3 linked regions of the Daphnia pulex genome follow. The protein of the gene in region 1 purifies or fractionates together with the protein of each later gene. This does not show direct contact. Links are inferred from orthologs where the notes say so. Each region holds a gene or a part of one and is shown in the gene's direction. Other genes may lie near its edges.

Region 1 (5,306 bases):
ATCATTTTGCAACGGGAAAATAAAAGGAGGGCTCGGTCGACGTCCGCACCAGGACTGGAACTTTTCCCAGCAGGTAAATACATTTTAATCACTATTCACATCCAACTGACTTAATTGAATAATAATGATATAATAGTAGGGCTGTTTGGTGCTTTGCTATCTATGGTGCGATCCTGCGGCCTATCGTGTTTGGAATACGCCGATGATCGAGGCGATATCTGGTTGGAAATTAAACCACCTTCGTTTGCTACTTTCCGCGTTCCATCATTTGGTTATCGAACGCATTTAATGCGACTCCTCGTCGATCGCCATTTATCCTATTGGTTCGAAGTATTGGGCCACTGTGTACGCTCTGGAACTTTCCGCTCTCTCACTTCCGGTGGAATTGATCCGAGTCTCGTCAAGCCGCTTTTGGATTCTCTCAATGGAGGCGCCACCGTTTGCCACGGACGTGGCAGCGTTCTCAAACGTGTCCACCAATTCCATCCGAAGGAGGCCTTGGAGCAAGGATTGGCCGGGCAGAATTATTTCACTTTGCCGGATTATCGCTATCGATCCTACGACTGCGCCCGATTAATTGATGCCAAAACCGGAGCCACTCAATGCTTCGCCTGTTTACAACCGTACGAACCTCATCGACCGGAATCTCCTCTGGACGGCATTCACGCTTCATCCGTTATCCGACTTCAGCAACAACAGCCGCGAGATGGTCTCTCGCAACCTTCTGCAGCGTCGCAACAACAAGAAGAACAACACAATCGGCAACAACAGCAGCAACAACAGCACAATCTTCTAACCAACGAACCGTTAAATTTGAGTATTCATCCAATAATGGAAGAATCAGTTATCGATTCACCAGAAATGAAGAAAACTGAATTCCACTTCATGTCTTCCGATGGACTTCCCAATAGGAACATAATTTTTTCGAATCGACGTCTTCTGACGCCTTCGCCTTCCGCCGTCGCACGACAGTCACCTCTATTACCACTTGCAGCAGTACAACAAACATCACCTCAACCTTCAATCCAGCAACATCACCATCATCACCATCATTACTACAACAGTGGTAGTAAACCCAATGCCGCAGATCAGAATCCTGACGATTATCGACTGGCCAAGGAAGCAGCTTTTTTGAGTCTCACGAACGAACGTACGCCCACGAAAGATCAACGTCGAAGTCAAGATTGGCAACATATTTCCACCACCAACCGAGAAAATTTGGGTTCCAAGTTGGGAACGGGAAGTGAAGTCGAAATGAAATCGGATGATCCTGAATTTCCCAATGAGTGGATCAAGCAAGAAGTTTTGGATTCCAGCAACCTGAATACAAACAACATGATTACCTTTAAATAAAGAAGTGCGTAAATAAACAATGCCAATAGAAAATTAATAAAAAGATTTTAGTAGAAGAAATAAAACGACAATCAAAATGTATCAAGGATCTCGGATTTCAGGGAAATAATATTTAGTGTGAATTATTAGAAGTGAATTATTGGCATTCGACAAATGTTAGAAAATTTGGTCGTTTTGAAAATTTTTGTCAATTCTTTTTGTTCTATTTTTGAGTTGTTTATTTTTTGAAATTGTAATTGTTTTGTATGATTGCCTTTCCATCCGCCACGCCTTTAAACTGCGTCTTGGTGATACTCAAAAATTTAAAATTAGTACTTTAATATTCCCTATCCCTTTTTTTACATGCAACTAAACTCTCATTAAAAATAAGTTTTTGGGTGGACTTTTCTCTCTATCTTTCCCCTTCTTTCTTCAGTCTACTAGAACATCTCATCTCGATTCAAAATTTCGGGTAGATTCTAGAATACAAAAAGTCGCAAATTCACAATACAAAAAGCAACTAAACGATCTTGTTTTCAATTACTATTGTTTTGAAACCCAGTTGGAAACAACCATGAACATTTGAAAGCGTGAGACTGATTCTCGGTAAAAAAAACTTCTTTCTGAATTTCTGATTGATTTATAAGAAAAAGAATTAAGAATTAAAAAAGATGAAACAGGATTTCGAATGGGACTAGAAGAGGCTTTATTTCTCTGTCGTGAAGTAGTATGAGCTCACGTGGTCGTCTGCTCAAAATTACACGTTTAGAATTTGGAACGAATAACAGAAGCGAAATCTGTTAATTCAAAAGATTTTGCATTAATTTTGTTTTAAGTTGTAGCACTTATAGGTATAAAGTAATTTGTTAAACTTGTGTGCAAGCTATACTCAAATCTGATTTTCATGCAATAGAGAGCTTTATCCATTTGGTTTTAGTTTTTACTTTGAGGTCTTTTGCAATCCAGTGTAGCCTTTCAACATCGAACATGTCAGCCGATGATGTTTTGGACGATATCGAAGACATTGTAGGAGAAGGAGATTTAACTGCATTAGAAAGATCTGTAGCAAGATCTAATGCTGTTGGGAAACGAGTGAAAAAAACTCCCAACAACAAAGATCCTGCCAAGTCCAATAAAGTTATCCCCAAAGTGGAGGAGAATGGCAGCATTATTCCTGGCACCCAAAAAATTTGGGTTAAAACATGGGGTGAGTGAACTGATCATTTCGTGAAACAACCTATTAACTTATTTCCCTCGGTTTCTGTCCAGGCTGCGCTCACAATAATTCTGATTCTGAGTACATGGCAGGACAGCTGGCTGCTTACGGATATTCATTAACCGGTAAATAACATTGTAAAAAAAAAATCGTTTTATGCTAAATAATAAACATTGAATTTTTAGATGAAAAATATGAGGCAGATTTGTGGCTTCTCAATTCGTGCACTGTTAAAACACCTGCAGAGGACCACTTCAAAAATGAAATTGATGATGGGAGAGCCAGAGGCACTCCAGTTGTTGTGGCTGGATGTGGTATGCTATGTCATTCTCATAATTTTATTTGGTCTCTTTATCAAGATATTGTTTTTTAGTTCCACAGGGACAACCTAAAGCAAATTACTTGCAAGGATTAAGTATCATTGGGGTTCAGCAAATAGACAGAGTAGTTGAAGTAGTAGAGGAAACTTTAAAAGGTTTTGTTCATTTGAAATCACTTTGCAACAGTAATTCTAATTGTATTGTAAATCCATTCTTAGGCCATTCCGTTCGTCTTTTGGGCACGAAAAAGGACGCAGAGAAGAAAAAAACTGGAGGAGCTTCGTTGCTGTTGCCAAAAATTCGAAAGAATCCTTTGATAGAAATCATCCCAATCAACACAGGCTGTCTGAATCAGTGCACATATTGTAAAACCAAACACGCACGCGGAGAATTGGGGAGTTATCCACCAGAAGAAATTGTAGCCCGAGCTATCCAGTCTTTCCAGGAAGGTGTTTGCGAGATTTGGTTGACATCCGAAGACACGGGCGCCTATGGAAGAGACATTGGGAGTTCATTGCCGGAACTCTTGAGGCAACTCGTTCAAGTTATTCCGGATGGATGCATGCTTCGGTTAGGCATGACCAATCCTCCTTACATCCTTGAACATCTTGAGGTAAATCTCGTTAAATTTCCTGAAATACTTTGCGCAGTTTTAATGATTTGGTTGCGCAGGCGATCGCTGAAATTCTAAACCACCCCCGAGTTTACGCTTTCCTCCACTTGCCCGTTCAATCCGGCAGTGATGCAGTCCTCACTGACATGAAACGAGAATACTGCGTAGCTGATTTTGAGAGGGTCGTAAATTTTCTTCGAGAGCGGTAACATTTTGAAATTTGAATTATTAGATTTGAATGAACGAACTTTATGTAAACAATTCTTTACGACAGTGTTCCAGGCATTTCAATCGCCACCGACATAATTTGTGGATTCCCTACCGAAACGGAACAAGATTTTGATTTGACGATGGAACTTTGTTCCAAACATCGTTTCCCTAGTTTATTCATTAATCAATTCTTCCCGCGTGTAGGCACTCCCGCCTATCGCATGGAACGCGTTCCAACTAAACAGGTTTGCAATTACTCATGCAGTTAAATTTGTCATGCAACTAACAGATCATGTTATTTATTTGATGATTGTTCAGGTGAAAAATCGAACGAAACGACTTAGCGAATTATTCAAGTCATATCAACCATATGATAATCAAGTTGGTCAACGGCAGTCCGTTCTGGTTACGGACATCTCTCACGATAAGAATTATTACGTTGGGCACAACAAGGAATACGTTCAGGTAAACAAATGCCAACTCATTCTTCTTATCGATGACTGATTATTTTACTCATTCGTGGATCAAGGTGCTAGTCCCGATGGAGCCAAACTACATGGGCAAAATGGTAGAGGTTCTCATAACTTCTGCCAGCAAGTTTTCGTTAATGAGCGAACCTCTGACTAGTCCTAAACGTCCAGACGTCCCAGAAGCCCTTGAAAAGGGCCAGATATCCGGACTAGCAGCTTCCAACACCAGTAGCAATCCTGGTGCAGTAGCATCCAGCAGTTTGAGTGGGAGACTGTGGCCTATTCTGGGCATTTCGGCCGTCGTTGGTCTTAGATTGGCCTGGATTTTTTACTGGCGTGGACGCCGATAAAGAAACAACCGGCAATTTCACCATTTCCTCATTTTCCGTTGCTGGTTCATACAAAATTCTTATTATTATTTGTACAGCAATTGTGTGGCGTTTAAGTCTCTTTCTGACCTTGCCACTGGAGGGTTCTTTGCCCTTTGGATGTTTTCTTTTTAAATTTTGCTTTCTGGTCAACAAGAAACAAAATGAACTCAACTTAGTGTGTCAAAAGTCTTTAATCTTATCTCTTTCTTTTTCTGCCGTGCCTGTGTTTGACGTTTACAGTATACACGGGCACATCCTCATTTGCTCTGTGTTACTCTTTGGTCAATGGTCGAAATGACCACTTTGTTTTTGTCCTTTATACCGTTAGAGATAATCGCAGTGAACTGCAGTTGCGATAAGGCCTCACCCACCCGCTAGAAGAAGATATTGGAGGAGAAAAAGAAAAGAAAAAAGTCGTCCGGAATATTTGGTGGGTCCTATTTTTATACACATTTTTTTGTTTTGAATTTCTTGCTGCGCGTAACGAAGGGAAGCTCATGCGCATAAGCGTCGCATTCTGCTCCCCCGTTTTTCTTTTTCAAGTGGAGAAGGGGGGAGGAGGGAGAGGAGGAGGTGTAATCCGCGCAGACGCCGTTCATTTCATGGCGGCCGTCGTCGTCGTTCATCGCCGTCGCCCGCGTCAGCCGCACGTTCACATCTCCGTGGATCTTTCAACTCCATCACACAATTCACCGTGTAAGTCTCACATTTTATTTTATTGAACCCAACATTTGTTTCGTGTGTTTTTCTTTTCATTGCGGGAAATTGTTTTCG
Region 2 (3,849 bases), on another chromosome or scaffold:
TTGCAGAACGAAATCGGAGAGAAGGGCGACGACGGCGAAGAGGCAAAATTCTTGAATGGCCGGCACGAAGGTGAAGAAGCCCACCGTCAAAATAGTCACTTCTGTTAACAAATTTTTGGTTATGTTCCATCCTTCACGACTAAGTCCCTGTGCTACACGGATCTTGACGTCCAAATTGGCTGGAGTAGAGACGACAGAGCGAGTCAAAACTAAGATGTTCTCCAGACCAACGATCACCACTAAATAAGGGAAAATGTCTCGTCCCTGAAGAGTGAAGCGCAATCCGAACCACGTGCACAGGCCGACCGACATGCCCAGCGATGCTACCACTGTCACTACGGCGCTGAAAGCCATGCCAAACTTGGATTTAACCATTTCGATCTTGCGAACAGAGAAGTAAATGTACAGGAACAGGATTAAGTAGACAAAAGTCAGCGGGATGAGCTCCAAATAATTGAAACGTTCGGGATAGTAAATGTGAACGATGGTGCGTCGAGATGATGTGGATTCTTGAGTGGTGGAGTGGAGAGGAAATTGATTGCGGAGCTTTAACCGCAAGTCATAAAGAAACGGTTCAGAATGAGTTTTAAGTAAGATTGTGATAGCGTACGTAAGGACGCGAGAACGAGTCTTGACTGGGAATTTTTTCAATCCACTATTTTTGAGCGGGACGCCGTAAAGTATGTCGGCCATACTTGATCGCACTTCTACCACTGGGTTCTTGAAAGAAAATATGGTGTCTAAGAACTGAGCGTCGTTGCGGAAGGTATTTTCGTCCAGCTTCCACAAATTGGCCGGCGACAAAATGATGCAGCTGAATTCGGGTAGAAGATGTTGAAACGAACGAGCTCTAGGGGCCACACTCTCCACGTAAAGGCAAACATCTCTAAGAGTCAGGTTACTCCTAGGTGAATGGAAACCCACTACATCAGAATGCAGCTTGAAGACTTCACTCAATGGGCCTCGAAAAGCATCCATCATGCCCAAATCAGACGTCCATGGATTGACAGAGGACCGTACAACTATTTGTTGTATGAAAAAAGATGGTTGCTGAGTTCCCCATCTGGTTGGATACTGAAAGCTTTTTCCAAATTCAAGATCAGAAGAGATTCTTTTCTCTGGAAGCGGGAAAGATATCTCCTCTGGTTCATTGCCTGGAAAAGGCAAGGACAATAAAGGATGACACGAAGTGAGAACAATAATAATTGCCACTATGATTGTGCACCAGGGGTAGCTAGAACACAGAAGGCCATGTTTGTAGTAGAGGAGTGCTACCCTGTCGGGTATACTCAGGCCTTTGGTGCTTGAATTCAGTCCACTTCCATTAGCAAGTCCAGCCGAATCAACATCTTTGACGGCGGGATGATGACCAATTTGTGGCTCAACAAAAGGCATGTTTGAGTAAGTCCAAAAATATTAAAACAAACTGTAGACGACGAATAGTGAATAAATTTCACGACATTTCGCCACACTTTCCAGTATTGGCAATATTGGGAATGACCTCCGAGAGCAAACGTTTCTCCTAAACAAGAAAATCAATATAATAAGAGATTTTTTAATTTAAAACCGGCTGCAGATTCAATTTTAATCTCTATTTACCTGTCGAAAATGCCCAAAAAAGAAAAACATGTCAACTAAAGATCAATGCCTTGACACAACTGGAGCGTCTAGTGCAGAAAATTGTAACGTGGTGGTGGAATTAAACAAGAAAAGAAATAATACAGTACCTACCAGAGTTGTCCTAAAATTTGTTTACAAAAATAGTTAAATTAGTAAAATTCGTTTGCCAATATGTTTTATGGTTATTAAGTTATTTAGTTTTAAATATTGCCGATTCCGCAATAGTTCACTCAGCCGCCGCCGCGCACACAACTAAACATTTATCGGTATCGCTAGATGCCGTTACTAGTTCTGTTTACTTGTAGTTATTCGCATGTTATTCGTTTCGCGATTGCGTTCGTTATTAGTCGGATAAACTTGTCAAAGTGTTGAATTGTAAGAATGACTTCCAAAGGGATCGAAAATGTGAATCCACAGTTATTTACGAAGAAGACAAAAAGAGAAATAACAAGTGAAGAAGAAGATGAATCAGTAGAGGATCCCATAGATGAGAGGGAAATATTCGGTAAAGACTTTCGCACTTGCGTAATACATCATTAAACAAATTCGCTTATCTCTCCATAATTATAGATTTGCTAAGGGATATCAATGATCCTGAGCATCCTATGTCACTTGAAGAACTGAATGTTGTACAAATCACGAATATAGAAGTAAAATATGAAATGTCTGATTTCACACAAAATCATTACCTCTATTTCCTTTATGTATGTACAGGTTGATGACAAAAAAAGCAGTGTTAAAGTCTTTTACACTCCAACAATCCCTCATTGCAGCATGGCAACTTTAATAGGACTGTCCATCAAAGTGTGTCTTCTCAGGTCTCTACCACCTAGGTTCAAAGTTGAAGTAAACATTTCCCCAGGTTCACATGCTTCAGAGGAAGCTGTTAATAAACAGCTAGCTGACAAAGAAAGAGTCTCAGCCGCTTTGGAAAACAGCAATCTACTTGAAGTTGTTAATCAATGCTTAGTAAAAAGTTTGGAATAATAACCATTTGATCAATACATTATGGATGAAAATGCAGTTTATTTTGATGGAACACATTCAAATCTATTCAGTGACAATTACTTTACATTGTCCCTGTTCATTTACATTCAATTAGAACCATGAAAGTTGTAAACTACTTTAAACCACTTTGCTTCATTTGAGCATCTTTGGACCCCAATTATGTCATTTAAAATATTTACCTAAAAACAAAAAGAAAAACACATTGCTTTTAAAAATAAGATGATCCAGTACTCTCAACTGCAGGGAACATTTCATTGCAGAAGCCAGAATTCTGGTCATTCAGTTTGAACGTGCGACCTGGGACGAAATCTTGGCGTTTCTTCTTTTTGTGAATCCAGTGCTTAGTTCCCGGAATGCTTTCGCGCTTCTGCACAGTGTAACTAAACAACACAGGGATGTTAAGTTAGTTCGACGCTGAAAAAATAATTGTGACACTCACTCTATGTTGAATTCAGCTTGGCCCATACGCAAGCATAAAAGAATTCCGTTAGCAAAGCTAACATCATTGACGAAATCGACCCGAGATTCAGCACCCACAGTGAAATCAACAGATGATTTAACAAACGGCGTGTTTAAATTTAATGACCCCTCTAGCTCCCATGCAGCGCTGAAATGAAAATATGAGTTTTATCATTATGATCAGAAATCCAGTCTGTAAATTGACTTACATATCTTCGACAACTGAATGAGAATTTCTGTTCCAAATACTGATTTGGATTTCGCCACCAAAATCAAAAGAGACAGAACCACGCACGTCGAGTGTAGTAACAAAACCACTTTGGAGTGGTACGACATTACGATAATCCTGAAGCAGCACAGTAGCCTGTTTATGAATGTCAATAGAAATGTCAATACCGAATTTAGTTTCTGTATACTTAAAACTCTGAAAAACAAAATGTAATCTACCTGTAGGGCTGTGGTTCTTTCAGATGCTGTGCCAGACCTGGACATTGGCAATGACAAATGGTATTAGTTCTATGTTACTAGAATTTTACTAATTTGGACCAGGTTAAACTCTTCTTTTCAAGGTCCAATAAGCATTCCATTTGCATTTTTAGTTTTGTTTACCTGCCAAAACAGCATGGAATATAGTAAAATATATACACTTACCAGACATGGCCCATTAGCTCGCTTTGACCCGAGAAGAAAATAACAGGTCTTAGCTGGACACCAGCAAGTGTGACTTCCATGCCTGCTGTAGGTTCTTCTTCGTCACCTTCA
Region 3 (5,450 bases), on another chromosome or scaffold:
CAGCGCATACGCATTGTCGCAGTGGAGAACCATTACGTCCACCGGAGTCGTGTGGTTCGCCACACAAATACCACACTTAGGTATATTCTCTCTATTGTGAAAAGTGACGACGGCTGATAACGCGCATGATAGAAAATTGAAGCACCATGTTGAAACCTTCAAAACCAAAACAAAACCAATAAGATATTAAAACAAGAAAGTATTGTAATGCAAACTCTTAAAGAAAAGATATGAATAAACGGAGCAAATGTTGATTCGAACTTTGTCCTATTCGAACCATCGGGAGTTCTACAGTTATCTACACGAGGTCAAATTCGATAACTGAACGGGGTAAAAAGAGAATTTGGAGTTTATACCTTCTCATAAATGGCTCTTTTCATGGGACCTTCATTTAGGAAGCCAACCAGTCCTGTGCACAAAGTTAACCAAATAACCTATAGAAAATCACATCAATCAAAGACAAATGAATAATTTCATTACAATTGCAATAATATAGTTAAAATAATACTAACAAAATAATTGACAAAGAACACATTTTGAAGTATACTTACAGCTAAAAAGCAAATTGTAACTCTGCTTGGTAGAAGAATGAAGTAGCGTACAAAGAAACCCAAAATCCAAGTAATAGTAAGGCGAACACTGATGAACTCATAGTGGCGGTTTGTGCGAGTAAGAAGATTCCAAGACTGGGAAGTACAAATTTAATGTTAGATACTGTGAACCAAATTGGTAGGTGAGATTTGAGTACCTTTAGTTCTTCAGCTACAAATCTTCCTGTAACTTCGTCCTCAATGATTGCTTCCACCCCCGCATGAACAAAGTCAAGGCAGTCAGATAGAATAAAATCATTATTCAAACTGTTAAATGATCTGTTTTTGGGGATGGAGGGTGTCTTTGGAGATGAGTTTCCATTAGGTAAAAGTACTAGATCTTCCTTGGACATTGCTGAAGATTTTATAATGGCATGTCCAGTTGATAATTTGTCCTCAGCTTGTTCCACTGCTTCCACAACATTTCCATTTGCATAGCCATTCTTTCCTTTATTGGTCTCTAGTTTCTTTTGCTGCTCAGCAATTTCTATCCTACCAGTTCCATACTAGTATAAAAAAGATTATGAGCATTACGAAAACTCAAATACTAAGAATAAGACATATTACCTGAAAGACCTTCAATAGTAGTTTAACATATCCTGATCGGAAATTCCTTGACCAGTTGCATGTCATCACTAGCACCAAGCAACCAATTACCAGGATAACAGGCATAAAAATTATACTAAGTACTAGCAAAAGAATTAAATTTTCGAGCCCCATTGTAATATTGTTGGTGGGAGCTCCAGTTCAAGAAGTTGCTGTCGTTGTCGAACACCAAGGCAACAGATGTCGGGACCACGTTAAAGGAAGTGGTGGAAGAGAGAGATTTCAAGGTTGACAAGAGAAATGCCGATTTGAGTTGTTGTGCGTGAGTGGAATTCGCGTAACGTAGTCTACTAAAAGACTGCTACGACAGACGTTTTGGGACTCTCGTTTATAATGGGACGTTCAGGCTACAACTGACTTCAAAAATACGTCTGTCTATTGGTTCTATGCGTTGCGCGTGCGACCTTGACGCGATTAATTATCTTTTTCTAGTCCTCCCATGCTTACCAGCACGATTTATCGGAATCACATAAAAGTTTACTTTGGAAGTCTCCACCCATCTGTTTTTTTTCCAATGCGTAATGAAAAATCTAGAAAATACAAAACCTGGGTGATATTTTCCTCCGTTCACGGAAGCTATTTCAAAACATGTTGGAATGCGGTTATTCAATATTTAATTACGAAATTTGTTACAAAAGTCTGTTGCTTGTTTACAATTACATAATCTGTGACAAAATTATATATTCGATGAATAATCAGTTCATGAAAAGAAGAATGTGAGAGGTAGGCAACCATGTGTCATTTAAAAGCAGATGACGTTTACATAATCAGGGCAGAGGTAAACAGTAAACATGGCGATCTCGACTGCGATTCACAAACTCAGAGATTCGTTTAATTCAGAAGAATCCGCGAATGAATCTATTCGCTGTATTAGTCAATGTAAGTTTTTATAATTATAACTGAAAGAAACATTTTTTCGTACTCCGCTCAAGTGTTCGAAATTAGAAAAAAAGAAGGAAAAACACGTGTCCATCATGAGCGCGCCAGATTTAAAACATATGTGTAGAAAATGTTTAATAATTTTAACAAGTTAACATCAATGACTTTGTTTAATTTTTCAGCAATTGCATCAAAAGAATTAACAATTCTCAAGCTAGTTGAAGATTTGCAACCAGATTTACTGAATCAACAAAATACTCACCGATGCAAAGCAGTGTCAACTATTGGCACAATCTTGGAACAGTTGGGGCCTGAATTGAAGGGACTAAATGAAAAGGAAGTAGAACTTGTAACAGAGTTCTTCTGTAGCAAGCTAAAAGATCATCATTCAATACTACCTGCCGCACTGCAAGGCCTCCATGCTTTGGTATGAAAAAAAATACTATTCAATACAAAAGTGTTAAATTTAATACCTTGTCATAGAGCACAGCACCTAAGCTTTCCCCTGGATTGGCCAGATTGATATCCCAGAGCATTTTTCAAGATGTTCATTGTCAATCACAATTGCAGCATGACAGAAGAGCAATTTACAAAACAGTGAAAAACCTCTTGGCTTTTCATCTAAAAGGTCTAAATTATAAATTTCTAAATATATATGCTGTGTTAGTATTTTCTAAATTTTATTTTTAAACTTACAGAATTACAAGACCTAGGCCAAGATTTTGTTTTTGGTCTCATCCAGTTAGCTGATCAAGAAAGAGACCCACGTAACTTGTTGATTCTCTTCAGTGTTTTCCCTGTAGTTGCTCGTTACTTCAGATTCGAGCCGTTTACAGAAGAGTTTTTCGAAGTTTTTAGTTGCTACTTCCCTATCGATTTCACCCCTGTAAGTCTCTTGAAATTTTCAGTTTATTGCTACATGTCAGTAAATCCTAATACTCTTATTTTGAATAGCCAGCTAATGATCCTTATGCAGTAACTAAAGAACAGCTCTGTGATGGATTACGACAGTGCCTTGCCGGTAGCCCTCATTTCGCAGAGTATTGTTTGCCGTTACTGCAAGAGAAATTGGAATCTGACTTGGTTTCAGCTAAAGTAGAAGCCTTAAAAACCTTGGTAATTTTCCCCTTCTATATTTAGTCTTTATGCTTCAATTCTATTGTAATTTTCGACTGTTTGCAGGAACTCTGCTGTCAGACGTATCAACCAGGCCAACTTGAAAAATGGGTGGACTCTTTCTGGACGAGTATACGTAGAGAAGTCTTGATCAATGTCAATACCGACGATCTTGAACATGCCTCACTTGATGCTCTTGCCGCTTTATCCCGAGCTTTTACAACAGACGGAGAATTTAACAGTCCAGCTTTTACCAAATTACTAAAAAATGTGCTGACCGGTAAATGTGTAGCAAATATTCGTTTAAGAGTATATTTAACTGTAGATTGTATATTAATAGAATGTCAGGGGCACTTGTGTGAACCGGAACGGCGATTAATGACTCCGAGCAGCTACATTTTGCTAGCGATATGCTCGGGAAGTGCGCCCGCGTGTGCATTAATTGTTAGCCAGGTATTATTCTTATTCTCTTATAGAACTACAAACATTTTTTTTAAAATCTACTTAACAGAAACCCATTTCTCTAAATAGGTCATTCCCCTTTTGATGGACCAGTACAGGATCAGGCCACAGTCAAATCCACGTCAGTTCATCCTTAATAGTTTGAACAAAATGGTACATGCTGGTCTCTATGGTTTCACTGAAGCAAACGGTACCACATTTTAAAAATTATTAAAATTAGAAACATTTTCATATCTTTGGTTATATTTTACAGTTGCTCAAAGTGGTGTAGCTTCTCTGATACCAAAATTGTTAGAGCTGTACCTTGAGGTCTTACAAGAGGATGACGCAGTTCTTCGCAATCTAAGTCTGCAAGGATTGAGCCATTTAATTGGCACCTGTTTGAACCACCAAGACTTGGAAAAGGTCAATGGAACACTTTTAGATTTACTCCAGAAATCAACAGCCACCGATAGCGTTATTGCAGAGATTGGTCATTTCTTTTGCAAAAGCGCAGAGAAGAATGAAAACTTGTTCCTTGAGCAAGTCTTGGTTAAGCTGTTAGATATAGCCGTCTCAGGTAATTTGAATTTTACCAATTAAAATACGGAAAGAGGTTATCTGTTGGTTGTTTAGGCAAAGCCAATGCGGTTTTTCTTGTGTTATCAACTCTACCGACGTTGTCCCAGATTCGTGCGCAGGTGGTATCCCGACTAATGACCGTGCTCGAACAACCCGAACTGGAATTACGACTTGAAGTACTCAAAGTTTTGACTCATTTCGCACAAAGGGACGAACTAGAAATATTCCAGCAATTGCACCGCTGGGGATTGAAAACATTGGAAGATGGAGATCCTCCGGCGTCACTCCAAGCCACTTGTGTTTTATTGAGAAATCTGGCTTCCAGTTTATCTTCCGCGTAATTCTATTAGATCAAAATGTTGGAAGAAATGTTTTTGTAATCTTCTCGGCATTGTACAGGAAAGCCACGGAATTCATCAACGAACAAACCGAACAATACGTAGGTCAACATCTTGCTCGTTCTCCGTGGACGTTGTCCATAATGGAAGCGACATTGGGATCATTGGATGCCACACCTAGCGGACACAGTCTTGAACGACTAGTTAACACACTAGAACCCATTACTGTTTGTCATCCAAAAGCCGACGTCAGACTGTCTGCCTGTCGGCTAATAGCCGCTCTGGTCAACAAACTTCCTGAAGGTAAAATTTATAGGATCTATTATAAAGTCAAAACCATCAACGTTAACCATTACCTGCTATGTTTAAGGGCATGAACTGGAAGCTATACTCGATTCGTTGCGGCGCAAATGGCAGGATCCATCTACAGACCGATGCAATTCTGTTTGCCTGTTTGTTTGGATAACTAAAGCTCTGCTGATGAGATCTTATTCCAAGCTTAATCAGTATATCCAAGAAGTATGCGATTGGATTACAGACGTAACAGCATGCGCCATGACCTGTATTAACGAATTACCTTTTTCTTTGCAGTTAGTTGATTCGTTGAACGATCCCACGCACGGGTACCTAGTGGCAGAAGGATTTAAAACGATTTTGTGTGAAACCGAGGAATGCCTGAATTTCAATTGTCATGCCAACATCAGGTTTTTTAACGTTTTCCATTTAGTTGTACGAACATTTCCTTATTGATTAAATTCTTAGGTTAATGTACCGACAGAGGTTTTTTCAAGAAGTTGTACCTCGCTTGTTGAAACTGTATCGAGAGTCCGAGTCGTGCAACAAAGCAGCTTGCTTCGCCGCCATCGCCAATCAACTAGCCTTCATTCCGGAGGGTGTT

The links. The genes of interacting proteins can lie anywhere in the genome.
Region 2: the proteins of threonylcarbamoyladenosine tRNA methylthiotransferase-like (region 1) and cytosolic iron-sulfur assembly component 2B-like purify together in Homo sapiens (affinity purification with mass spectrometry; 3 studies listed by BioGRID and IntAct, with this or other methods). This does not show direct contact. The link is inferred for Daphnia pulex from reciprocal best matches to the Homo sapiens genes CDKAL1 and CIAO2B.
Region 3: the proteins of threonylcarbamoyladenosine tRNA methylthiotransferase-like (region 1) and MMS19 nucleotide excision repair protein homolog purify together in Homo sapiens (affinity purification with mass spectrometry; 4 studies listed by BioGRID and IntAct, counting the BioPlex papers as one, with this or other methods). This does not show direct contact. The link is inferred for Daphnia pulex from reciprocal best matches to the Homo sapiens genes CDKAL1 and MMS19.

Annotation. Positions count from the first base shown.
Region 1 is NC_060018.1:3,959,640-3,964,945, forward strand, and holds threonylcarbamoyladenosine tRNA methylthiotransferase-like, read left to right. Parts: upstream 1-2,056; 5' UTR 2,057-2,183; exon of another isoform or gene 2,184-2,269; 5' UTR 2,270-2,319; coding exon 2,320-2,539; intron 2,540-2,601; coding exon 2,602-2,673; intron 2,674-2,733; coding exon 2,734-2,862; intron 2,863-2,921; coding exon 2,922-3,023; intron 3,024-3,086; coding exon 3,087-3,481; intron 3,482-3,540; coding exon 3,541-3,686; intron 3,687-3,755; coding exon 3,756-3,936; intron 3,937-4,009; coding exon 4,010-4,156; intron 4,157-4,220; coding exon 4,221-4,511; 3' UTR 4,512-4,792; downstream 4,793-5,306. Other genes in the region: uncharacterized protein LOC124188531, read left to right, coding at 27-73, 137-1,353. UniProt on the Homo sapiens protein: Catalyzes the methylthiolation of N6-threonylcarbamoyladenosine (t(6)A), leading to the formation of 2-methylthio-N6-threonylcarbamoyladenosine (ms(2)t(6)A) at position 37 in tRNAs that read codons beginning with adenine.
Region 2 is NC_060019.1:10,899,696-10,903,544, forward strand, and holds cytosolic iron-sulfur assembly component 2B-like, read left to right. Parts: upstream 1-1,879; 5' UTR 1,880-2,001; coding exon 2,002-2,125; intron 2,126-2,190; coding exon 2,191-2,270; intron 2,271-2,334; coding exon 2,335-2,607; 3' UTR 2,608-2,643; downstream 2,644-3,849. Other genes in the region: sterol regulatory element-binding protein cleavage-activating protein-like, read right to left, coding at 1-1,395; microsomal triglyceride transfer protein large subunit-like, read right to left, coding at 2,837-3,008, 3,068-3,235, 3,297-3,451, 3,535-3,571, 3,739-3,849.
Region 3 is NC_060026.1:4,197,763-4,203,212, forward strand, and holds the start of MMS19 nucleotide excision repair protein homolog, read left to right. Parts: upstream 1-1,944; 5' UTR 1,945-1,987; coding exon 1,988-2,075; intron 2,076-2,257; coding exon 2,258-2,502; intron 2,503-2,558; coding exon 2,559-2,703; intron 2,704-2,773; coding exon 2,774-2,961; intron 2,962-3,029; coding exon 3,030-3,191; intron 3,192-3,257; coding exon 3,258-3,471; intron 3,472-3,531; coding exon 3,532-3,644; intron 3,645-3,722; coding exon 3,723-3,843; intron 3,844-3,906; coding exon 3,907-4,212; intron 4,213-4,268; coding exon 4,269-4,551; intron 4,552-4,613; coding exon 4,614-4,855; intron 4,856-4,922; coding exon 4,923-5,071; intron 5,072-5,143; coding exon 5,144-5,256; intron 5,257-5,314; coding exon 5,315-5,450. Other genes in the region: glycerol-3-phosphate acyltransferase 3-like, read right to left, coding at 1-156, 357-434, 552-686, 749-1,096, 1,158-1,310. UniProt on the Homo sapiens protein: Key component of the cytosolic iron-sulfur protein assembly (CIA) complex, a multiprotein complex that mediates the incorporation of iron-sulfur cluster into apoproteins specifically involved in DNA metabolism and genomic integrity.